Drosophila melanogaster: one gene and its partners. Changing the gene in region 2 together with the main gene of any one other region gives a genetic interaction. Each region holds a gene or a part of one and is shown on either strand. Other genes may lie near its edges.

Region 1 (6,810 bases), 1.6 Mb from region 2:
ATTACCAACTGTTTGCATTTAAACTTGGACAACATTAGGGGGCAGAACGCCGACAACGCACACCGCGCACACGAAAAAACACAACCGCACCGCCAAAGATTCGAAAACCGAATGCCGAACAACAACAAAATTGGTTCTGAAGATGGAGGTGTTTTTCAGCAGAGCGAGATTCCCTGGCTCACGCTGAGCGGGAGAGAACGAGAGCGACAAAGTCTCTCCTCTAAAAATGCGGCATAATAACAACAAAGTGGCGAGCGGCTTTCGAGCTCATGCTGTATGTTGTTGTATACCCGTTACTTGGAGAGTTAATTGGGTATACGGTGATGGGCTCTTAGGCAAAGAATTTTTCCAAAATACACTTTGCATAATTACTCAAATAAATTGCCTCAGAAGCTACTTTACTCGTTTAAATCTTAAATTAATATTATTCCATTAATGTCAAGCCACACAATACAAAATTCAATAGGAATCACTCACCTATAGCTGTCATTGCAAACAAATGATATTACCTATTGGACTAAAGGGTATATCTGAGTAGTTACGCTTCGTAAAAAGGGCTCTCTCTTGTTTTGGTTTTTGTTTTGGTGTTGCCAGAAGATTTCGCACGATGTAGGATCAACATGTTATTGACACGACGTCGCCGACGCCGCCACTTTTAAGCTTGGCGGAGCAAAAGGCACACAAACAAGAAGCGACGCAGAGCGGCGGTGCAAAAGCACAAAAAAAAAGAGGAAAAATGCGCTCGAGAGCGGAGGGCGTGGCGGTGCGCAGGGGCGGGGCAGGTAGCCGGACAAACAGGACGAACAGGATGAAACCCAGACGAGTTCGGCCCCACTGCAGATTTCATGGAACTGGCCGAAGGTTGAGGATGCGGATGCGATGCGCAGGCGCGCAAGTAAACAACATTCCATTCCTCGGGAAATTTCTTCTGGCCGCTCGAGAAGCGCGCCAAAAATAAAGCTCCGACCGATGTCGTTGCCATAAATATTGCTATTTTGACTTTCCAGATTCTCGCGATTCAACGCCCCTTGAAATGGGAGCAACTTGCTGGAGATTCGCGTATCAGGGCTGGAAGAGGGTTTCTCCAATAACTGCACATTCACTCAAAAATATGGTAAAAAGGTGTGCTGCAGCTTCGAGAGCTCCCAAGAGGTAACTTTATGTTATAAAATTACATATATTTATTTTATGTATATATTCTGGGAAAATCCATACGCGATCTAAAACATTTGGGGCGCGGTTTTCACAGGTAAATGAGATTTTGGAATTCCTTTACTGAAATGCCAACGTCGATGTCGTCGATTTTTTCAAAAAATCACAAACATCGATGTTTTTCGAGGAATCATCGATGTTTCTCCACCTCTAATAAGGCGGATTCGACCTATGTACATGTACTGCATGTATGAAAGCGGCACAACTACCCGTTTCCGGTGGGCAGTCGGTCCGCAATGTGGGCCGCAGACACCATTCCACAGCCAATTGACGTCACAAGCGACACAACAGCAACAACCTGGCACACGCTTTCTGGGTTATGTCGGAATGCATCCAAAAGCGGGAGAAAAGTAGAAAAAGGCAGGAAAAGAAAGAAACCAAGAGTCACCCGGATGGCAATTCGATTCTGGTGAGATTTGGACAATCAATCGGCTTAGTTCACAGCCCAGCGGGACGGGACTCAGTGCTACAGGTTCAACTGTACAATAATACCAAGAAGATGACGACGATGACGATGACGATGATGATGGGGGATGGGCGATGGGCAAAATGTTAATGGATTGCCCTAGGACCTGCCCTCATTCCGTTTGCCATCTTCGTCGCTTCGCTTCTGCATTTGTGCATTCCCATTCCCAATCCGATTCCCCCATCAAGTTGTGCTTCTTTGCCACACCGCTTTTCTGCCCCTTTTGCGGTGTTCTGTTGCTTTGTTGATGTTACAATTGTTGCACTTGTTGTGTGCGGCTTAGGACGTTGAACCACAGCCGGCAGAAATGCAGAAATGCACGCAACTGAGTGGCAAGTGTACAGCTGCAGTCACAGCACTAGCAATGCTTTGCGAAGGATTCCTCCAGACCGCTTTGTAATTGGTTTTCTTTCGCGTAATTTGGCCGATATTAGTTAGTTCATATCTGCAATCTAAATGTTACGAACCAGCAGAGTTCCTAGAGCCCTAGAGACATTAATGTACTTTTAATTGCCCCACTGTATGAATTTTTTTCAGTGCATTCTTGCAATTTGCTAACGTTTTTACCGCCATTACCGTCATTGTCGTATATATTTGTATGCTCATTCGGAAAGCCAATTCGAAGGCAATGCTAATAAAATCAATAAACAACATTACTGTCACGCACACATACATACATACATATGCATATAGCTTGGATGTCCGGTTGAAACGATGACGATGAAAGGTCACGACGAAGAATTTTTCGCCAATTGCCTGGTGGGTCGCACAGTCTGGGTCGCGAGACGTCTGACTAGACAACATGCAAATAGTAACGGTAATCATTAGACGCACACACTCGCACCTATTTGCATGCACACTCTCTCTGGCTGTGGTTCTGGTCGTGGGCCCCCATATTTCATCTATCTCGCGGCCGCTCTTTCTTTCGCTCACCATTTTCTATGCTGAGTTCGACGGCCTTCTTACGTAAAATCAACAACAACGCTCTGCGGTATTTCTCTTCTAATAAGCGGGTGCTTGGGGCTTGGGGTTGGGGGGATGTGCACTCGCCGACAGAGTTGCCATATCTAGCCAGACATCAAACTCGTTTTCACTGTTTTGGCTCCACACACACACACACACACGCATGTGAGTGGCTTTGCAACTGTACAAGAACAATAAGTAGGGGCAGCATAAAAGCAACAACACACGGCGCAGACGCCAAGCAACCGCTCCCCTCCCAACGCTCCACTCAATGTTTGTCTGTCTGTCCGGAACGTCTGTTTATGTATGCTTTAGGCGTATACATGCATGAGTGTGTGTGAGCAATTTTTATTTTTCTGAATGTAAAGGAAGTGGCACGTACTGTACTACTCAACTCACCGCTGCCGCAACAACAAGAGCAGTGACAGCCGGATCAGGCTGGGAATTCGAATAAGAGCGGAGCGCGTCGCATTCGGATGTTCCGATTCCCCATCGTTCCCAGCCGCAAAGCGGTCAGCGTTCCAATGCCAACGGCACAGTGGTTGCGATGCGTAAGGTAACGTGCTACGGAACCGAAACTCGCGGATGATCGTAAGTGGGAGATATGTACGTGGGATAAGAGCGAAAGTAGACGGATATCCGATTTGCAAAAAGATGTAGTATTAATTTAAAATGTTTAGAATAACAAAAATAAGCTAACAAAACTATAACCATGACAAACTATGACGATAACAATATATTTGCTATGCGTTACGATTTACAAACTTTGAATACTTTTTAAAAGATGCTTATTTAGGATCGATCCATTGTGCAGCGAGATGAGCGGAACGAAAGGCGAAAGGGACGCTGGTTTGCGTCTCCGCTGTACGCCAGACAGACAGACAGACAAGACGCCGCAATATTATAAACAGGAAATGGAATTTACCCACACGGATGCAGCGCGGTGAAGTGTGTGTCTGTGTAAATTGCTGATGAGCCGACAAACGGACGTGGTGCTCAATTGACAGATGAGCACGAGAGAGACAGGCAGAGCATAGCACACCGCCGAATGAGCGAAGGAGAAGGCCAGAGCGCGCTTCAAAGTTGATTGAAATCAATATACGTACATACGTATGTATACACACATAGCGTGCCGGTGTGAGTGTGCTAAGACCGCTCGTGGAATGTTTGAAAAACGCGGTCAAGCGACGGGAAGAGCAAGAATGTTGAACTCTGGAAGTGGGAAGAAGTTTCTGTAAATAGAAGCCAGGTGGAAGGGGCTTTTGCACCTGCCACGCCCAGCAGCCCCTGGAATCAATTAACATGTTGCACAACTGCAGCGGCTCCTATATACATAGTTCATATAATGTACTTGTGATACAGTGACTTACGCACACAGAGGTGCAATTGCAGATGGCGACGAGTGTAGCGTGTAGTTTTTCTCGGAAATGAGCAATGAATGAAATTCGGTTGTTTTCAGTACTCACACGCACACGAACGCAGATGCATACACTCGCAATTTGGAGCAAGAGAGAAAGTCTGCACGACATGCGCTCTGGCGTTTGTGTGTATACAATTTGCTTACTTTTTGCGCTACAATTGGCAAATAAAACAATAGCGCAATTTTACGCAGCACTTTAGCTTACTAACCCACATTGATGGCTCCACAAAGCGAGCAAAATAATTTGTCTGCCTAATTGAAATAAAATAAATAAAACTAAGCAGAAAAAATGTCGGCAAAAAACAAGGCGCAGCTGTATTGTGCGCTAGTGTGTGTAAAAAGGAGACGGCCATAGAAAAAAAAAACACATATACACACAGGAGAATTTACTGCTGCTTGCGGCGCCCACACACACATACACAAAAACACTCGCCTATTTAGTACAGCAACTGCGTAAATTCAATAAAAATAGTCATCTGGAGTAAAAAAACCCAGTTTCCTGTCTTCATTTCCCTTTTTCCGTGAAGGTACACAGTCACTACTGTTATAATTTAGCACACACACTCGCGCATTTATGTATGCATTTGGGTTGCTTTCATTTGGATGTTTATCACTTACTTTACCACTTACTTTGGGATTTAGCTCTTCGTTTGTCGCACTTTTTTGGCCTGTTTTCATGCCATTTTCTTTTTGAAAAACTGAAAGAGTACAATTCGTTGTGTCGCGTCTTAAATGAACAAGTGTTGCCAGACTTTAGCTGGAGGGAGATGACACTATCGCGAGGCAGCATAAAAATCAGTGCTGTAAAGCGAAATTAAAAAAAATATCTGATAACTTTAATATTAGTTTATTTGTTTACTGAATTTTACATTTTCTTATGTACTATAAATAAAAATCAATTCATAAATTTATTTGAGAGGAGTAAAACAAGAAGAATCCACCTAAACATTACAGACTTAAGTTCTAAATATCCCAAACGTTGTTTAATTTCTATTTATATTTGTAACGATTAGTTAGTTATTAGTAATAATGAAAGAACTAGTGATAAAATCCATTTGTAATCACTGCTAGAATTGGCTTGAAAATAGCTAGACTGACGTTAACAATACTGTTACCAGTTGGCATTTCCTGATCCGGCAACTCCACACGACGCCATTTCAAAACAAATGCGCGGCAACGATTTTATTTTACCCCGCAACATTTAGTGAGAAGTCGCAAAATAAGTCAGATTATTTGATTAAAATGGGAGCAAAGGCAACAAAAATGGAAGGTGAATATCTGCCGGATACGCCGACACTAAACAAAATGCGCCTGGCCAGCGAAAAGCGAGAACAAATGGAAATGACGACGCCGAATCGAGAGCAAAACAACGCTTTGCTCGATCCTCGATCACCAAATGGCTGCCGCACGCCTTTAACCGTGAGTTTATAGGCATTAGGTATTTTTTGATATTACTAACCCTAGTAATGATGGCTGCGTTGTAGTTCTTGCAGGCGTCAAAACCTCGCGTTGAGGAGGAGGAGCAGCATGTGACCACCAGTGAAAATGCCTTCTCCATGCTGCGAAAACGTTTGCTCAAGGGCTTCTCCCTGAACGATCCTCGCTCTCCTCAGCTGAATCGCACTCCACTGGTCCTCGATGAGGTTCGTTCGCTTAATATGGATGACACATTCGCCGATCTCTTCGTGGACACCAGGGTGGGTACAGCACAGAGAGCAGTGCCTGCATCACCGCCCCAAGTGGATTTAGAGGAGAGCTGCGATAGCTTCGGCACACCGCCGTCTGCTGCACACAACAATATTTCCCTGGAGATTGTTTCACTGCCCTATGATCAGGAAGAAACCTTGCCTTGCGAGCAACAGCTGCTGCCGTATCAGGAGCCGAATCTGGAGCAGGGCCAGGTGAAAATGGCCACGCCCCCGCCAGAACAGCAGCCCCATGGTGATCCCCGATCGCCCAGCCTGGGCGTCGATCGCACACCCATCATCTTCTGCGACGACGAGGAGGAGGAGGCACGCGAGGCCCAGATGCTGGAGCACATCCTGGAAACACTGACCCTGAATCTCAGCACTGGCAGCAGCATGGCCTCCTTTGTCGCTGGCGAGGAGCAGCTACCAGAAGTGCCGTCGAACAAACATTTGGAGCGAGTGCGTTTGGGTCACAAGCGTCGTGTGCCACCGCGCAAGCCCGCCAGAGCCAACAAGCCAAAGATCTATGTTGACCAAGAGGAGGGGTCCCCGGTGACCGGAGGATCCATTACGCCCAAGACAAACAGTACCCCCCTGTCCGCACAAAAGCGAACTCCACTCAGTTGCGTTAAGAATAAGCCGCATCTGCGATCCCGTTCAATGGAAAAGGATTCTAAGAAGAATCAGATTCCGCCCGCGCAGAGCTTCAACGATCAACTGCGGATAATCTCTGGCACAGAGGGATTCAGCGGACCCGTTTACTAACACAGCTTAGTAGCTACTATTGCCTTATGTCCATCAAAACCCACCAAATCATAGTCTTTTCTCACGACACATACTTTTATTACTCATCTTTTAATAAATCATTTTATTAGTTTGCTTGCCAGTACATTGTGCACATAAATTGATGGATGCAGTTTGCTCATGAGTATTATTCTAACATTTGGAAACCGGGCTATTTATTCCTGAAGTAACCTATTACCGATAATCAGCGACATATAGTTTGTATATCCATTGAATCTATTAAGTCTTAAACGTTGCAAGTTAGTAAAACCGCCACA
Region 2 (8,237 bases):
TCTTTTTGTTCTCCCATTTTGTGTGAACCATCTAGAAGAAAGTAAAGTAAAAACGGTGGCCCTGTGAAAATTGTTTTGATATATGAGAAGAGTACGATAACGAATTCAGAAAAAAACATTGCGAAAAGAAAGAGGAAGTAGTGAAACAGGCGCCAAACCCAGTAAGAAATACATCCCATCTTGAAATTAGTACAGAATTATAATTTCTCTCATTGATATTTGCGTTGCCTATCCAGCTTTCATTGTTTCTTTCAATAAATCGATAATCAATAGCAACCCTGTTTTGTACATGCGTATTAACAAACACATTTTTTTTTTGCAGTTACCAATCGAGAAGCCAAAATGACTGAGAGCATTGTGTGTCACAAGTGCCAGGAGGCCATCACCAAGCGTATGATCACCGCCCTGGGCAAGACGTGGCACCCGGAGCACTTCCTGTGCCACCACTGCGATGAGCAGATCCTGGATGCCACCTTCAATGTTCAGAGCGGAGAACCAGTGTGCAACAAGTGCTTCGTGGAGCGGTACACCTACACCTGTGCCGGCTGCAAGAAGCCGATCCTTGAAAAAACCATCTGCGCCATGGGGGAGAGCTGGCACGAAGATTGCTTTTGCTGCGGCGGTGCCTGCAAAAAGCCGCTCGCCAATCAAACGTTCTATGAGCGCGACGGCAAGCCCTATTGCAAAAAGGATTACGAGGACCTCTTTGCTGCCAGGTGCGCCAAGTGCGAGAAGCCTATAACGGACTCAGCGGTGCTCGCCATGAACGTGAAGTGGCATCGCGATTGCTTCCGGTGCAACAAGTGCGAGAATCCTATAACCTCGCAGACTTTCACCATCGACGGGGACAAGCCCGTGTGCCCCGCCTGCAATTGCTAACATCGTCCCGGATAACCATGGTGCATCCTTGCTCTTCCTCCAAATTGTTCATTTGCTTGCTTACAATAATGTTGAAATAGTTCCCGAAGCTTAGTAAGCCTAGAGGCATGCAAGAAAACAGACTTACACATTTAACACACAAACTTAATACACACACAAACACTAAATAAAAATAAAAAACAAATATGTTAAGTCTCTGTATTGGGGTAGACAGGTATACCCTAAGATTTGCCTTAGTGGTGTTGGTCACCCAAAATAACATTCTGATTACTGTGAGATAAGGTCGAGCAAGCCCTTTCCAATATGTTGCAGCCTTTCGTTAAATAACAAGCTTTTGGCAGCACTTTAAATAATGAATTATTTAATTTTAAAAACAAAAATTGAAGAGCTTTAAAAAATCTTTCCGTTAAGATCGCAGTACAACTGCCTTATCGATTCTTCTCGATATGAAGTGGTGGCCGTCTCTTGGCGTAGTCACGAATCGGTTACGCAGATGTGTAATCTAGATAAATATGGAATTAATACAAAAAAATTAAGAACAAGATAGAATTTTACATACGAGTTCCCCGACTATCAGATAACGGTTACTCAGCTGGTGTGAATGCAAAAGCGAAATTTAATAATTTTTCTGGGATATCGATAGAAAAAAATGAGTAAAAATTGTTTAAAAATGTGGGCGTTACTGTTTTGGGAGTTTTTAAGGTGAAAGGAGTGGCGTGTCCACAGTGCTTTTGGTATACATATAAAAATTGCCAAGACAAACAATAAAACGAAGAAAAATCTAAACATTTTTCAAAAGTGCGTGGCAGTTTTTGGCTTTAGGGCGTTTGAGTGGGCGTGGCAGAAAGTTTTTTTTGGCAAATCGATAGGAATTTCCAAGACTAATAAAAATATCAACAGTTTTCAAAAGTGTAGGCGTAGCAATTTAGTGCGGTTTTAGGGCGTGGCAAAAAGTTATGGAATTATGAAGAAATAATTTTCAAAATTTCTAAAATGTTAGCGTAGCAGTTATGGGCGGTTTTACGGCGTTAGAGTAGACGTGGCAAAAAGTTTTTTTGCAAATTGATAAAAAATGAAATGTAAAAAAATATCAAGACTTTTTTAAAAGTGTGGGAGTGGCCGTTTTTTGCGGCTTGTGGGCGTGGCAGCATGGGCCAACAAACTTGCGCTGCATCGTTGTCTCTAGAATTTGTATGCTGAATCTCATACGAACAGACGGGCATGGCTAGATCGACTCGGCAATTGATCCTGATCAAGAATATATATACTTTGTATGTTCGGAAACGCTTCCTTCTGCCTGTTACATACTTTTTAACGAATCTAGTATACCCTTATTATACCCGTTATTGCTTGTTGTTGTGCTCCCATTTTGTGTGAAACATCTAATAGAAAGTAAAGTAACAACGGTGGCCCTGTGACAACTGTTTTGATATATGAGAACAGTACAATTACGAACTAGGAAAAACACACTGCGAAAAGAGGAAGTAGTGAAACAGGCGACAAACCCAGTAAGAAATACACCCAATCTTAAAATAAGTACAGAATTATAATTTGTCTCATTAATATTTGCGTTGCCCAGTGTTTATCGTTCCATAGCCATCTTCCGTTGTTTCTTTCAATAAAATAATCGATAGCTGCCCTGTTTTGTACATTTTGTATTTTAACCTCAATTTACGATATATACGAGCAATTCAATCAAAAAAGAGTAATTGAACAATCCCTTGGTAATGCGCATTAAAAATCATTTTTTATTAGCAGTTACCAATCGAGAAGCCAAAATGACTGAGAGCATTGTGTGTCACAAGTGCCAGGAGGCCATCACCAAGCGTATGATCACCGCCCTGGGCAAGACGTGGCACCCGGAGCACTTCCTGTGCCACCACTGCGATGAGCAGATCCTGGATGCCACCTTCAATGTTCAGAGCGGAGAACCAGTGTGCAACAAGTGCTTCGTGGAGCGGTACACCTACACCTGTGCCGGCTGCAAGAAGCCGATCCTTGAAAAAACCATCTGCGCCATGGGGGAGAGGTGGCACGAAGCTTGCTTTTGCTGCGGCGGTGCCTGCAAGAAGCCGCTCGCCAGTCAAACGTTCTATGAGCGCGACGGCAAGCCCTATTGCAAACAGGATTACGAGAACCTCTTTGCTGCCAGGTGCGCCAAGTGCGAGAAGCCTATAACGGACTCAGCGGTGCTCGCCATGAACGTGAAGTGGCATCGCAATTGCTTCCAGTGCAACAAATGCGAGAATCCTATAACCTCGCAGACTTTTACCATCGACGGGGACAAGCCCGTGTGCCCCGCCTGCAATTGCTAACATCGTCCCGGACCCATGATCTTACTCCAAATTGTTTAGTTCCTTTCTTACACTAATGTTGAAATAGTTCCCGATGCTTATGAAGCCTAGAGGCATGAAAGAAATCAGACCCACACATTTGACCACACTTAACATTTCGCACACGCACACACTAAATAAAAATAAATATGTAAAGTCTCTGTATTGGGGTGGCCAGGTAAACCCTTTTATCGTTAAGATTTGCCTAAGACCAACAACACCCACAACAACATACTGATTACTGCGAGATAAACTAGAACGCAAGCCCTTTCCCAATTTTGAGTAAATATTTTCCCCAAACCCAGTGAAAAGAAGCTGTCGAGGAAAGTGTGCTTGATATGAGATCATGTTTCCAAGGGTAAATATGCTACCCAGCCTTGGAACATGCACATCTGATTATCTCATAAACGCCATTAGTCGGTGGAATTATGTTGTTTGGAGGAGGGGTATCCCAGCAGTGCAGCGGAAAATGGAAAACTCTGCGAGGGTGTGCTGACGTGCCGTCATCGTGGAAAATTCATACATTCGGGTAAAATACACGAAGCGGCTTCGTTAGTCAAGTTTTCGTTACGATTTTGTGGGCTCTGCGGCTTTGGAGTTGCCGGCTGCCGGTTTCAGTTTCATTTTTCAAACGGAGCTCGTGCAAAGCGGTTCGGTTGGTCTTTAAGCGATTTTCCACAAACCAAAAAGTATTTCCGCGGAAAAGCTGCCCGAAAACGGGAAAAGAGAGGTGGCTAATTAATTACACTGTTGAAACTGTCCCATAAATAATTGCCGTTTGAGTCGAACAATTAAGGAGTCTGTAAAAAGCTGCAGCAGCTGCAAGCCTCCATAAATCGTGTCTATCAAAATCAAGATCGTGGTTTACGTATGTTGCGAACTTTGAAATTTATTTGCGATCTATGGCCAGATTTTCCAGATTCGGATTTTCCAAATGCAGCCAATATCCTCACGTCTAGTGGCACTGACAACTCAATACAGTATATCGTGTAGATTGGCATCAGATAATTGTGATTTAGCCGTGCGTGTTGAAGTGGAATTAGTTTACTCAATTTGCAACTTCAAGTAATTGCAGTTTATTGAGGAAAATATTTTAATATATTAAAGCTGAAGTGGCGGGATAACAGATTAGCTATAAATATATATATATATACATATATGTATGTATGCAAAGACACATCTTTGATAGTAAAACACTAAGTGTGGGTGGTCTGAGCGTTTATTCTAATTGATAATTATTTTAATTAATACAAAAGATATCTAATCTTGTACTTCTACATTTTAAATGCCTGTTAAGGTCTTTCGTGCTTGCGTTTGCTCAGGTGGAGGCAGAGCTTATAAAAATGTTAATCTTACAAATTATAAAATGTGGGATTAATTGGAAAATGTTTTATTTTGATTACCTAGGTGACAGAAAATTAATTGTTAGCATATGCAAATGTCAGTCGCGATGTGAATTTGCATTTTACGAATGTGTCTACAAGCGATCAGGTCTAAAAACTCAATCAATGGGATCAATTAGGGTTTGTAATACTTGCTATTGCTGACTGTGTTGGATCAAAAAGAACATCACGCACACCTTTAAAGCGGCTGTCATTCCAGAACCTTTTTTCGTGGAAATGGAATCCAAGCCAGGCTCTAAGCTTCCAGGCCAAATTTATTGACGCTACTCTGGCATTCTTTTTCAATTCGTAGATGTCTGTGAACGAAAAAATAACTTACAAGCCGATGGCACTGGAAAAGGTCCAAGCCTAAGTCAATAATATCATCGAATTATTCTATTTGGTTTTTATTCACAGCTCATTATACCAATACTCATATATAAAATACCATTTAAAGTTAGGGGAAAGATTGAAAAAGTAGCAATAATTCGATGAAACCAAATGAAGCAACATTTTTTTTTATTGTGTAAGCCATAATATTTTTAAACACGACACATTAAAAAATTTTTTTTTACATTTCTGTATTCATTAAATCTTTGCAATGCAAAATGTTCTTCATTATGATAAAGCAATGCAAAAGGCAAACATTTGATTAAAATTAAGCTCCCAGTACGCATTCTTAGAATCTTTTTTTGTCGCAGTGCAGTTAAAAAACAGTCGGGGCAGTCACTGGCACTGAAGAACCTCCACAGTCGTACTTTGACTCTTGCGGTCGTCGGATGTTTGTAAGTTTGCCGGCTTCGCATAAGTTTTATATGGAAATTGCCATTTTTGGCGTTTCGAGCAACAGGACGGCTATAGACGCACCTTAAAAGTCCACCCGGATCGGCTGGGTCGCGCTTAACCTTTAATGGGGAAACGCCATGGCCCGAGCCTTTGAGAGCCCCTCCAGTTGGCAACCGGTTGGCTTCCAGTGAATGTCTCTGAGTTTCTGTGTGTGTCTGCTGCAAAAGCCTCTTTGTGTCAAGTCGTATGTTATTAGCATCCGCCAACTGAGCTCCCAGTGTGTCAAAAGATTTGAACTTTAAAGTGCTCAGGTGCTGAAGAGGCCCACAGACGAAAAGTAGACAGCAGACACTTGGACTGCCAGTCAGTCAGTCAGTCAGTCAGTTAGTCGGTCTCTCGGTCTTTGAATACACTGCGAATAAAACTGTGATAATCGCACATTTGGCCATGCTATCGGAAACTATCTTTAGAAAATGTGCTTTATTTCAAGCAAATGTGATTGCAATGATTAAGAAAAACGGATAGAAGAGTGTTGTACTAAGTACCAAAATACCGAAATTACTTAAAGCAAATCCCATTTACCAATAAATTGAAATGATCCAAATTCAATGAGTTTCAGCTTCAGTTTACACAGTTTTTCCCATTCGACTTTTCGGCCAGTGTTTGTGAATTGCTTATCACGTTGTTTGACTTTGAGCTCGTTTGAATTATGCGTGCTATCTTCCATTGCCATTCCCCTGGCCAGCGGGTAGTTCACGCCGCAATTGTCTCTTTCGGGTTCTTTTTATCACACCTGCCGTGCACCGCTGGATACCACACATATGCCGTCCATCCATCCGCACTGGAGCGATGTGGAGTGGAGTACCTAGAGTACTCTGTGGGGTATGGAGTAGGTAGAGTACTCGCACGTCCACAAACTTTTTTTGCCTTTTCCTTGACACGTCCTCGTTGAGCGTTGCTTGGTACTTGCATAGAATTAGTTATCGTAACTAGTTCTATTGTTTTTCGTATTCAAAATTCATCAGGGTTTTCGGCAGTTGGTTAGGAAGTTTAGAAATCTTAATAAATTAGCATTACCACTGTATACAAAACTCTGGTAATTTTAAGCCCGAAACTGTCTCAAAAACCATTCAACTTTTTGACTTAAGGCAGCCAGAGCAAATTGTGAAGTAAACCCACATTGTTTGCCCAAATAATTTAATTAAATTATTCCACTTAAAAACCGATTGAGCAAACTGAAAGCCATTCGACATGGAGTGAATCGGCAAAAAGAACAATTAATAATGATAAGAGCAACAAATAGCACGCACCCGAGGCGCTCGACTTTTAAAATTTAGAATTAGAAAAATATAAAACAAAAAACAGAAAGCAACGCCAATAAGCCTCTCACCTGGCGCTGGCCAAAAATAGCAACCGAAGACCATTTAATAACAATATCAATATGCGAAACAAATTCAAAGCTCATTTTGAATTGCAATAATCAGAATTCGTAGACCGCGCGGCTCTTGAGAATTTTGTGCGGAATTAATTGAGTGATAAATTAGATTGCTTAAATGACAAACGGGAGCGTGGGCGCCGCTATCAATAAAAATAATTAGCAGTCATACCCTTTCAGTGGGTACATTGATGTTTACGAAAACTCATTTTGAAATAAAAAAAATTAATTTTCCAAATTGTTATTTTGGTAAACCTAAACCTCTGTTACTTGTTTTCAAAAGCTTACGTTCTGCACCAAAAACGAAAAACTATTAATGTTCGTGGTCTAAATATCCGCAAAACTCATTGTTATTTTTTCATATTTTCTGCTCTGGTTTTCGCACATTAATTGATAAATGCTACTTATCAATTTGTGGCAAAAGTAATTAAGCTTGTGACGGAATCGAACGTGGCTAATTGGATACAGCATTGGAAAAGAATACCATCACAGAGAAAAAAAACACGGAACATAAAAAATCAAACAAATAGCGACAATTTGTAGAGAAAACCCATTAAAAGCGACGTTCACTATGTGTAAATATGTAATGTGCGTCTACGAGTGAGCGAAAATTGCCGACTGATAACTGACTTTTTGAAAAAGTAACCACGATGGAGTCAACTACTATTGTTTTTGTGACTCTGCTCACAATTATAACCCAACGTAAACACTGTGCGGGTAAGTGAGCTACAAACAATTTAAGGATGGCAAAAATGTTAAGCTTTATTACTCAATGTGGTCGATTGGGTGATTTATCGATCCATTTCAATTTGAATTTAGGCAGCTTGGGAAACAAGAATAGTCGAAACAATTAACACCTTTTATAACTGACTACTGTGACAAGGCTTTGCCAAAATGGATTTTTTAACTTGAAACTAGTTAAATGTTTTATTAATTGGGTATTGGAGTCGTCGGTCAATGTATATCAACTTATATGTAGTAAAGCACGTTAACCCCTTTTTCTCCTGTTTCTGTGGCAAATGGGAATCTCGCAAAAGGCAATTACCCTCATTTCCATAGAGTGCCAGTGAACGAATCTCCCAGATAACCTTAACACCAATATATGCACAGTGGGAATGCAACCGAAGATATGATGTTTCCATTAGAGGTGTAATAAAGTGCAATCTCCTTTTATGACTTTTTTAGGTTGTTGTGCTCAAAGACGCACTGCTTAGCTCCTAATTATAGGCCCATTGCGTTCCACGCGACCAGCAAGGCTCTTATTTTTATTCGCCTGGCACAGGTGTGAACTGACGTCTTGACAAGTTGGTAAGCGATATGTGGGCCCGGCCTTTCGCTTTTGACTTTGCAACCAACTGACTGACGCTGATGGACTGGTCTACCGACCAACTCCCTGGGGCCGCTCCATCAATGCCTCAAACT
Region 3 (6,464 bases), on a different chromosome or scaffold from region 2:
AGGGCGCATTCAACGAATGTAAGCGGCCAAACGAAAGACTTAGGCAACGAACGCGGCGCAAACACATTGTACGGAAAGAAATATTGATCTGATATAACCATACTTTTATTTGTATTACTACTTTAAGTGTAAAATCAAAGTTCTAATATTTTAGCTTCTTATTAAACAGATTAATTAATATTTGTATTTAAGTACAACAAGTGAACAGTTCACCTATCAAAATGTTATACAAAGGCATGCTAATACTTAATCTACTCTTTTTCCTGTGTATGTATTAATAAGCAGCCAACAAAAACAAAACGGACGCAAAAGAGCAGCAAAACAAAAAGAAACACACACAACAAAAAACTTAAATAAAAGAAGCAGCAGCAACAGGCAGCGACGCCGACGTCGACGTCAACGTCGGAGAAAAACGATGAAAAAATGTACAAGTAAAACCGAATTGTTTCCCACGGCATACGATTTTGCCGGTCAACATTGATGGTTAAAACGAGGAAAAGAGACAGCGCGAGAGGGTGAGAAGGGGAGCGCTTGGGCGAAGAGCGAGAGAGCAGAAGTAAAAAGGTGTAAGCGAATAAACGCCAGGTGAAGAAGAGCAGTGCATGCAGCCATATTGAAAGATCGCCAAAAGAGAGAGAGAGAGAGAGGCCCCAAGCTATAACAGTTTAGCGCAGAGCGAGAGAGAGCTAAAGCGGTAGTTGTTGTTGTCAGCTGAGCGCAAAAAGAGCAAAGCGTGACTTAAAAGTGAATTGGAGTCGCGTGTTTGCTGGTGTGTGTGTGCAAGCTTACAAGCTGCAGCTGCCAGCTGCTCCAAAGAGAGAGAGAGAGCACGAGAGCGAGGCTCTCCCAGAGCAAAAACTTGTTTTCAACGGCGCTTTGAAGAGGAGCATAAATATGCGCAAAAAAGCACAGAATAAGAAGCAGGCAAAATGAATTAATAGACAATCAAGCCAAACGATGCGTCTGAATTAATAAAAGAAATACAATAAAAAAGGGAAAGAGAAAGAGGGAGAAAAACCATTGAGTGGAAGGAAGGTTAGAAAGGTGGGAGGCGGCGGGCAGGGGGGCGTGTCCAGTGGAAAGCCAAACTAAACTAGACTATAAACAACAAAATGGGACAAACGAAAAGCGCACACACAAACAAAGGCGCAGAAGTTGACACAACATATACAACACAAAAAAAGCAAGACAAAACAACAAGCAAATCAATTTGCATAACACCAAACAAACATTCACACACACTCTAAAGATGGTGGGAAGCACAAGCAAAACAAAACAAAAAGTGCAATCGTTAAAACCACAATAGTTTTGTCCACCATTTGACACCAATTTTGGTTATAGTTTCTCACACTGTTTTAAAGTCCCTCCAAGTATGCGGTTAGTATTAGCAAGCTCTTAAAGGGACAAGTAGTAGATAATATGATGAATTAGCATTTAAAAAACATAACTTTCGTTCTAATAACGTAAAATATATAATATATTTCTCTTTGATCTAACTTTTCCGACTGTTTTTATCGTAATTCCAAAATGTTGAATGCTCAGTTACACCTTGCACAATCCGCCTCATAACTTTGGCATATGTACACTGGTAATGGTTCTCCTTCCGCTTTTTGTTTGCCTTTGCCTTCAACTATGAACTCCACAGCGGCTGAATAACCGAAAGGTAAAACTTGTGGGGGGGATCTACGAGGGGGTTTCGCCAGGTGGAACTTGAAAGCTGGAGCTGCCAACCTCTCAAATGGAAGACAGACACTTGTTAAAGTGTTAGAAAATAGTGCGTTGCATTGTTTACCTTTTGCTTGAGCCATTCTTTGTCTCCGTTTCTCGTTTTCTTTCTCTTTACTGGCCACTACTCCTATTTTTACTGCGATCACTGAGGCTTGAAGCGACTAGTTAGTTAGTTCTTCGTTTCTTTTCATTTTTTGCCATTTCCACGTCAACTTGCCTTGACTGACAGACAGTTGTTGTAGAAAAAAAAGCAGGGAAGAAGTTAAAACAACACAAGGGGACATAAAAATGTATGAAAGCACGCATTTTTATTATAATTTTCCCCGACTTTTCCTCGACTTTCCTACAGGTGTTTGCTTTGGTGCCCCTACCCTGCATGTTGTTTATTAATCATTTAAATTCATCATCATAATCAACCGTTAACAACGGGCTTGGGAAACAGTTACAAGCGCAAGTGAATCATCCATCGCATTGTGTGGGAGTAGTCGTCGTCTTCCTCTTTGGCTTCTAAATTGCAATTAATTATGTTATGCGAAGAAAGAGCAGAGCCGAGAAGACTACGAGTGCTCCCCCACGAGTCCCAGTCTTCATTCATTCATTCATTCATTCACTCACTCGCTCACTCACTCACTTCTTCGACGCTCAATGTTAATATGAAAATTGCATAAATGCGAAAACAAGGCGACTACGGTTATTTGATAGTTAAATTGAAATTTAAACGCAGCATGGGACAAGAAAGGGCCAAGAAATTGTGAGAATAATACCTTATAGAATGGGCAGAAAATTGAATTAAATTGCATTGCTAATGGCAAGCTAATTGCCCGAGATATTATTTTAAATGACAAATTAAACTATTCCACCTTTCCCTGTAAGTAAGTAAGGAAATGAGTCAGAATTATTGGGCAGATGTTTCTGCCTACATACGGGGAGCATTTTCAGCAGTCCCAAGACCCCAGGAGGTTGGCGTCGAGACACTTTTTTGGGACGTTGTTAAAATTAGCGACTAAATAGCAGACTGCAAAAAGAAGCTGGTCGAAGAGTGAAGTTTAAGCACGCAACGTGCCAAAGTTGGGAGAAAATCAAGAAGTGCGGAGAGCGGTAGAGGATTGGAGCACATGCAGGGTGCACGGTGAGTAAATGGGTACTATTATCAATAAAGAGCTCCCTATCAGCTTAATATTGTGGATCTAAGTTGTAATTTCTTCGTAGCTAAATAGTTCTGAACTATGAAATGTATACTATGTACACATACTATGTATGGTCAAGATTTATTATAATTTAATATTTTCTTATCTTTGAAACTAACCCACACATTAACAACAAAATATTTAGTGTTATTTTCTAGAGATCGCACTGTTTGGAAACCCTGCACAACTCTTTTTTTTATCCGTGTAACCAGGGGATGCTGGCGTTAAAGATCAATGAAAGCATGACAGAAGAGAAACAACGCAAGGAGGGGAGAGCAAGTGAGGCTGAGCATGTGTCGCGTTGACCTACGCAGAGCGAAAAGTAAACCGAAAAAAATCGCATGTAAAAAGCGCATGCAAAGCGGAGGGACAGAGGAGGAGATGACGGCGAAAACGGCAGATGTTGCCCAGCATCATCAACTTTTTAGCATGGGCTTGTAGCACAGCATTACTATATAGCCTCATATTGAAATCGAGCAGTTTTATCATTTTTTGCTGCTGCTCTGGATGCATACGCCGTTGGTGGTAAATTTTGACGTTGAGGCAGACTTGGATCATCTCTGTTTTTACACGGAGAACAATTAGTACACATAGTAGGATTTCTAAGAAGTTGAACTGATCTGCATGTCAAAAATTATCTTGAAGGTATTTCTTCTAACGTATGCCTCATATTTTTCCGCTGTGTACTAGAATTAAACCATTTTTTGGGGATGGACCTGTTTGGGCATTGGCCTCGCATGTTTCCAAACTAGTTTTGCTCTATGAAATATGTATGCATGTTCCGAAAAGGGTGATACGATCCGATCCACAATTTCCACCCCTAAAAGCCAACCCGCTTAAAATATCAACTCAGCTGTTTCTACCCAAAAGTTCTCGGGTTACCAGCTTGAAAAATAAGTTTGGAAGCAAACGCGATGTTGGAGTGGTTTCAAAATAGATATTTTGAGATGATCATACGGAACCCCAAAAGTTTTAAAATATTTAGTAACCTGGCAACCCTTCAATCGTTTCTTCCCTTTTGGCCCCACACACACACATGCGCGCACAACACACCAGCTGCAAAATTCAGCGGTGAGTGCACGCGTGCGCGTAGAAATAAAGAAAATAAATTGCCAAAAAATACAACTTGTTGGATGGAAAATGAGCGCTTTTCCTGGGACTGAAACTCACCTGCACGATGACTGTGAAGCAAATGAATGCTGTTAATAAACATTTAATCCAATGCATGTTTATTGATGTTTTTGTTGCTGATTTTTTGGATTGAGTGTCGCTTTTAGTGTAATAATCCACGGGCTGTGTGTGTGTGTGTGTGTGTGCGGCAACTACTCAAATTGTTTATTGTGTTTATGTTTTGAATTTTTTTTTTGGTTACTTGTCGCACATGGTTTTGCAATTCGCTTTTAGCATTTTCGTTGTTTTCTTGTTGTCGTTGTTGCAAGCTACACGTGCACGCGCCACATTTTTTGTTGCAATTTCCTCGACTGTGTTTATTTTTAAGTGTCGCGAAATAAAAGCTCTTTTCGCGAACTGCGGAGTCTTCTCCTTTTCACGCAGAAAAGCGCAAAAGGGAAAAGCGAGAGAGGGAACTAACGGTGCCGCGATTCTTAATCATTCGCGATTTTTTAATCTTTCGGAGGAAACACTTCTTGTTATTCTGTTAGAAGATCTTTTATTTTGATTTCTGGTTCTGGCACTTTTCTTTTGGTACATTCAAATATCGAATGAGAACTGCCCAGAGTCGCGGTAATCTGCAATTCTTAAGTGAACTATTGCATTGGCAGTTCGCGTCACACACCGAATATTTGGTCGCGTTTCGAGTCGGGGACTTGTGTTTTTCAAAATGCCTTGGCTGCGGAGCTGCCTTTTTCGAGTTATTCGCGCGGCCGAGTTGAAAAACGTAATGCCGTTCATGTCCACGACCAAAACACTATTCACCTTCACCGCCGCGAATCGTACTAAAAAATACCACGAAACGTACTCGCTCTCTCATTTCTCTCTTTCGCTCTCAAAACGAGTTCCGTGGCAAAATTAGTGCATTTCAGCAGATGCAATGCAACAAACCGTTTTGAATAAATAGTCAACTTACACATTTTAAAAACTATTTAAAATTTCAATATACATTACCAAGTTTATTTTGATATAAGAATTTATTATATTGTTTAACTTCAACCGGACGGGTGTTTATTTGTACAAATTTCCAAGATTGTCTCTAAATAATCTTCAAAATTCGGATTTTTTATTTCTAGATATTCTACTTTTATTTTTATATCTAAAATAAAACAAATCAATTCAATTCGTTTACGTTAGCAACATTTGATTCCCCGTTTTGCTAGCAGTTTCAGATACCAGTTGGATACCGGCTTGTAAGCATTTCGTTAGCAACATTTGATTCCCGGTTCGCTCAATTTACCGATTCAGCTCACGCGAAAGTTGAAAGCAAAATGCTTAGCAACATTTATTGTTGCCAAGATGAGAACCAAAAATAAAATTAAAGATGGATATTTGTATTTAATATAAATATTTGAATTTTATTATATTGGGTGCTTATAACTTATTGAATTGGCATGCAAGTATATCTCCATCATCTTCATTAGCAGGTACGTCATCAGTCTTAGGGTCTTGGTATTTATATTCCACCAAACTGCCGATCCAAGCATCCAATGTCGTTAGTATGATCAAAATCGAATGAGTTTCACTTCGCTAAAAACAACTTCTGCTGAAGACGTTTTCAGAGACGGAAAATGCATCATCATATGAATTTTTTTGGCTCTGATAACTTCTCCAGGACTGTCGCTCTTATGGAGGTGAAACTCCTTCGAGTTTGGGCATACTAAATTCATTGAAAGAGGATCCATAAACTACATATTAATTGTCCAAGCTGCTCGGTGGAAATTGCTGAAGATACCATCTAGCTAAAGGTTTGGAATCTCATTAAATATGATCAGAATGTACAAATATTTACAAGCCTCTGCCTCAAAGATCCATTGGCTCGGAAATACCATCTTGTGATAACATCTTCACTGCGTTGCATATGTTTGCTCCACAATAACCAAATGAACTAGAATCTCTATTGAAATAAACGATAAATAACTATATAACCAAACAATATTTCAAAATCAATAAATTTTGTTCTAAGCATTTTGTGTAATAGTAATAATTTTTAATACTTGCATTTATTTTCAACGAATATTAAAAAAAATAAAAATAAAATTTTTTTTTTGAATCCAAATATTTTCTAGTTGATATAGGACTGCCGACGATGCCGAATCGAGCTAAACTAAATATTTTTATGAAAATAGATTGAATATGATGTGTTCGCCTACTACGATTTCATTTTGGCTTTACAATTTTAAATAGCTGGCCTGATTTTCCAATTTGTACTTCCATTCTATTCTGTAAAAATCTTAAGGTAAAAATGCTAAGTCTGTACACCTATTTATTTTATTATTATTCCTAACAAATCATTAGATTCTTCGGTGGTCTCTGGATCCAAACTTTCGTTAAAAATTGATCCAATTACTTAACGAAAAGAGCAAGATTAATTTGATT

Evidence for each region. A genetic interaction does not mean that the proteins touch.
Region 1: of Ret (region 2) and spi, changing one suppresses a phenotype caused by changing the other (phenotypic suppression), as found in Drosophila melanogaster (one study listed by BioGRID).
Region 3: of Ret (region 2) and Delta, changing one suppresses a phenotype caused by changing the other (phenotypic suppression), as found in Drosophila melanogaster (one study listed by BioGRID).

What each region holds. Positions count from the first base shown.
Region 1 is NT_033779.5:19,572,495-19,579,304, forward strand, and holds the start of spi (spitz), read right to left. Parts: upstream 4,822-6,810; 5' UTR 4,692-4,821; intron 3,094-4,691; exon of another isoform or gene 3,041-3,093; intron 117-3,040; exon of another isoform or gene 6-116; intron 1-5. Other genes in the region: msb1l, read left to right, coding at 5,304-5,480, 5,546-6,514. UniProt on the Drosophila melanogaster protein: Ligand for the EGF receptor (Gurken). Involved in a number of unrelated developmental choices, for example, dorsal-ventral axis formation, glial migration, sensory organ determination, and muscle development. It is required for photoreceptor determination.
Region 2 is NT_033779.5:21,194,358-21,202,594, reverse strand, and holds the start of Ret (Ret oncogene), read left to right. Parts: upstream 1-3,832; 5' UTR 3,833-3,942; intron 3,943-7,098; 5' UTR 7,099-7,465; coding exon 7,466-7,532; intron 7,533-8,237. Other genes in the region: CG31988 (uncharacterized protein), read left to right, coding at 343-879; CG31624 (uncharacterized protein), read left to right, coding at 2,658-3,194.
Region 3 is NT_033777.3:19,321,397-19,327,860, forward strand, and holds the start of Delta (delta), read right to left. Parts: upstream 4,822-6,464; 5' UTR 4,143-4,821; coding exon 4,086-4,142; intron 1-4,085. UniProt on the Drosophila melanogaster protein: Acts as a ligand for Notch (N) receptor. Essential for proper differentiation of ectoderm. Delta is required for the correct separation of neural and epidermal cell lineages.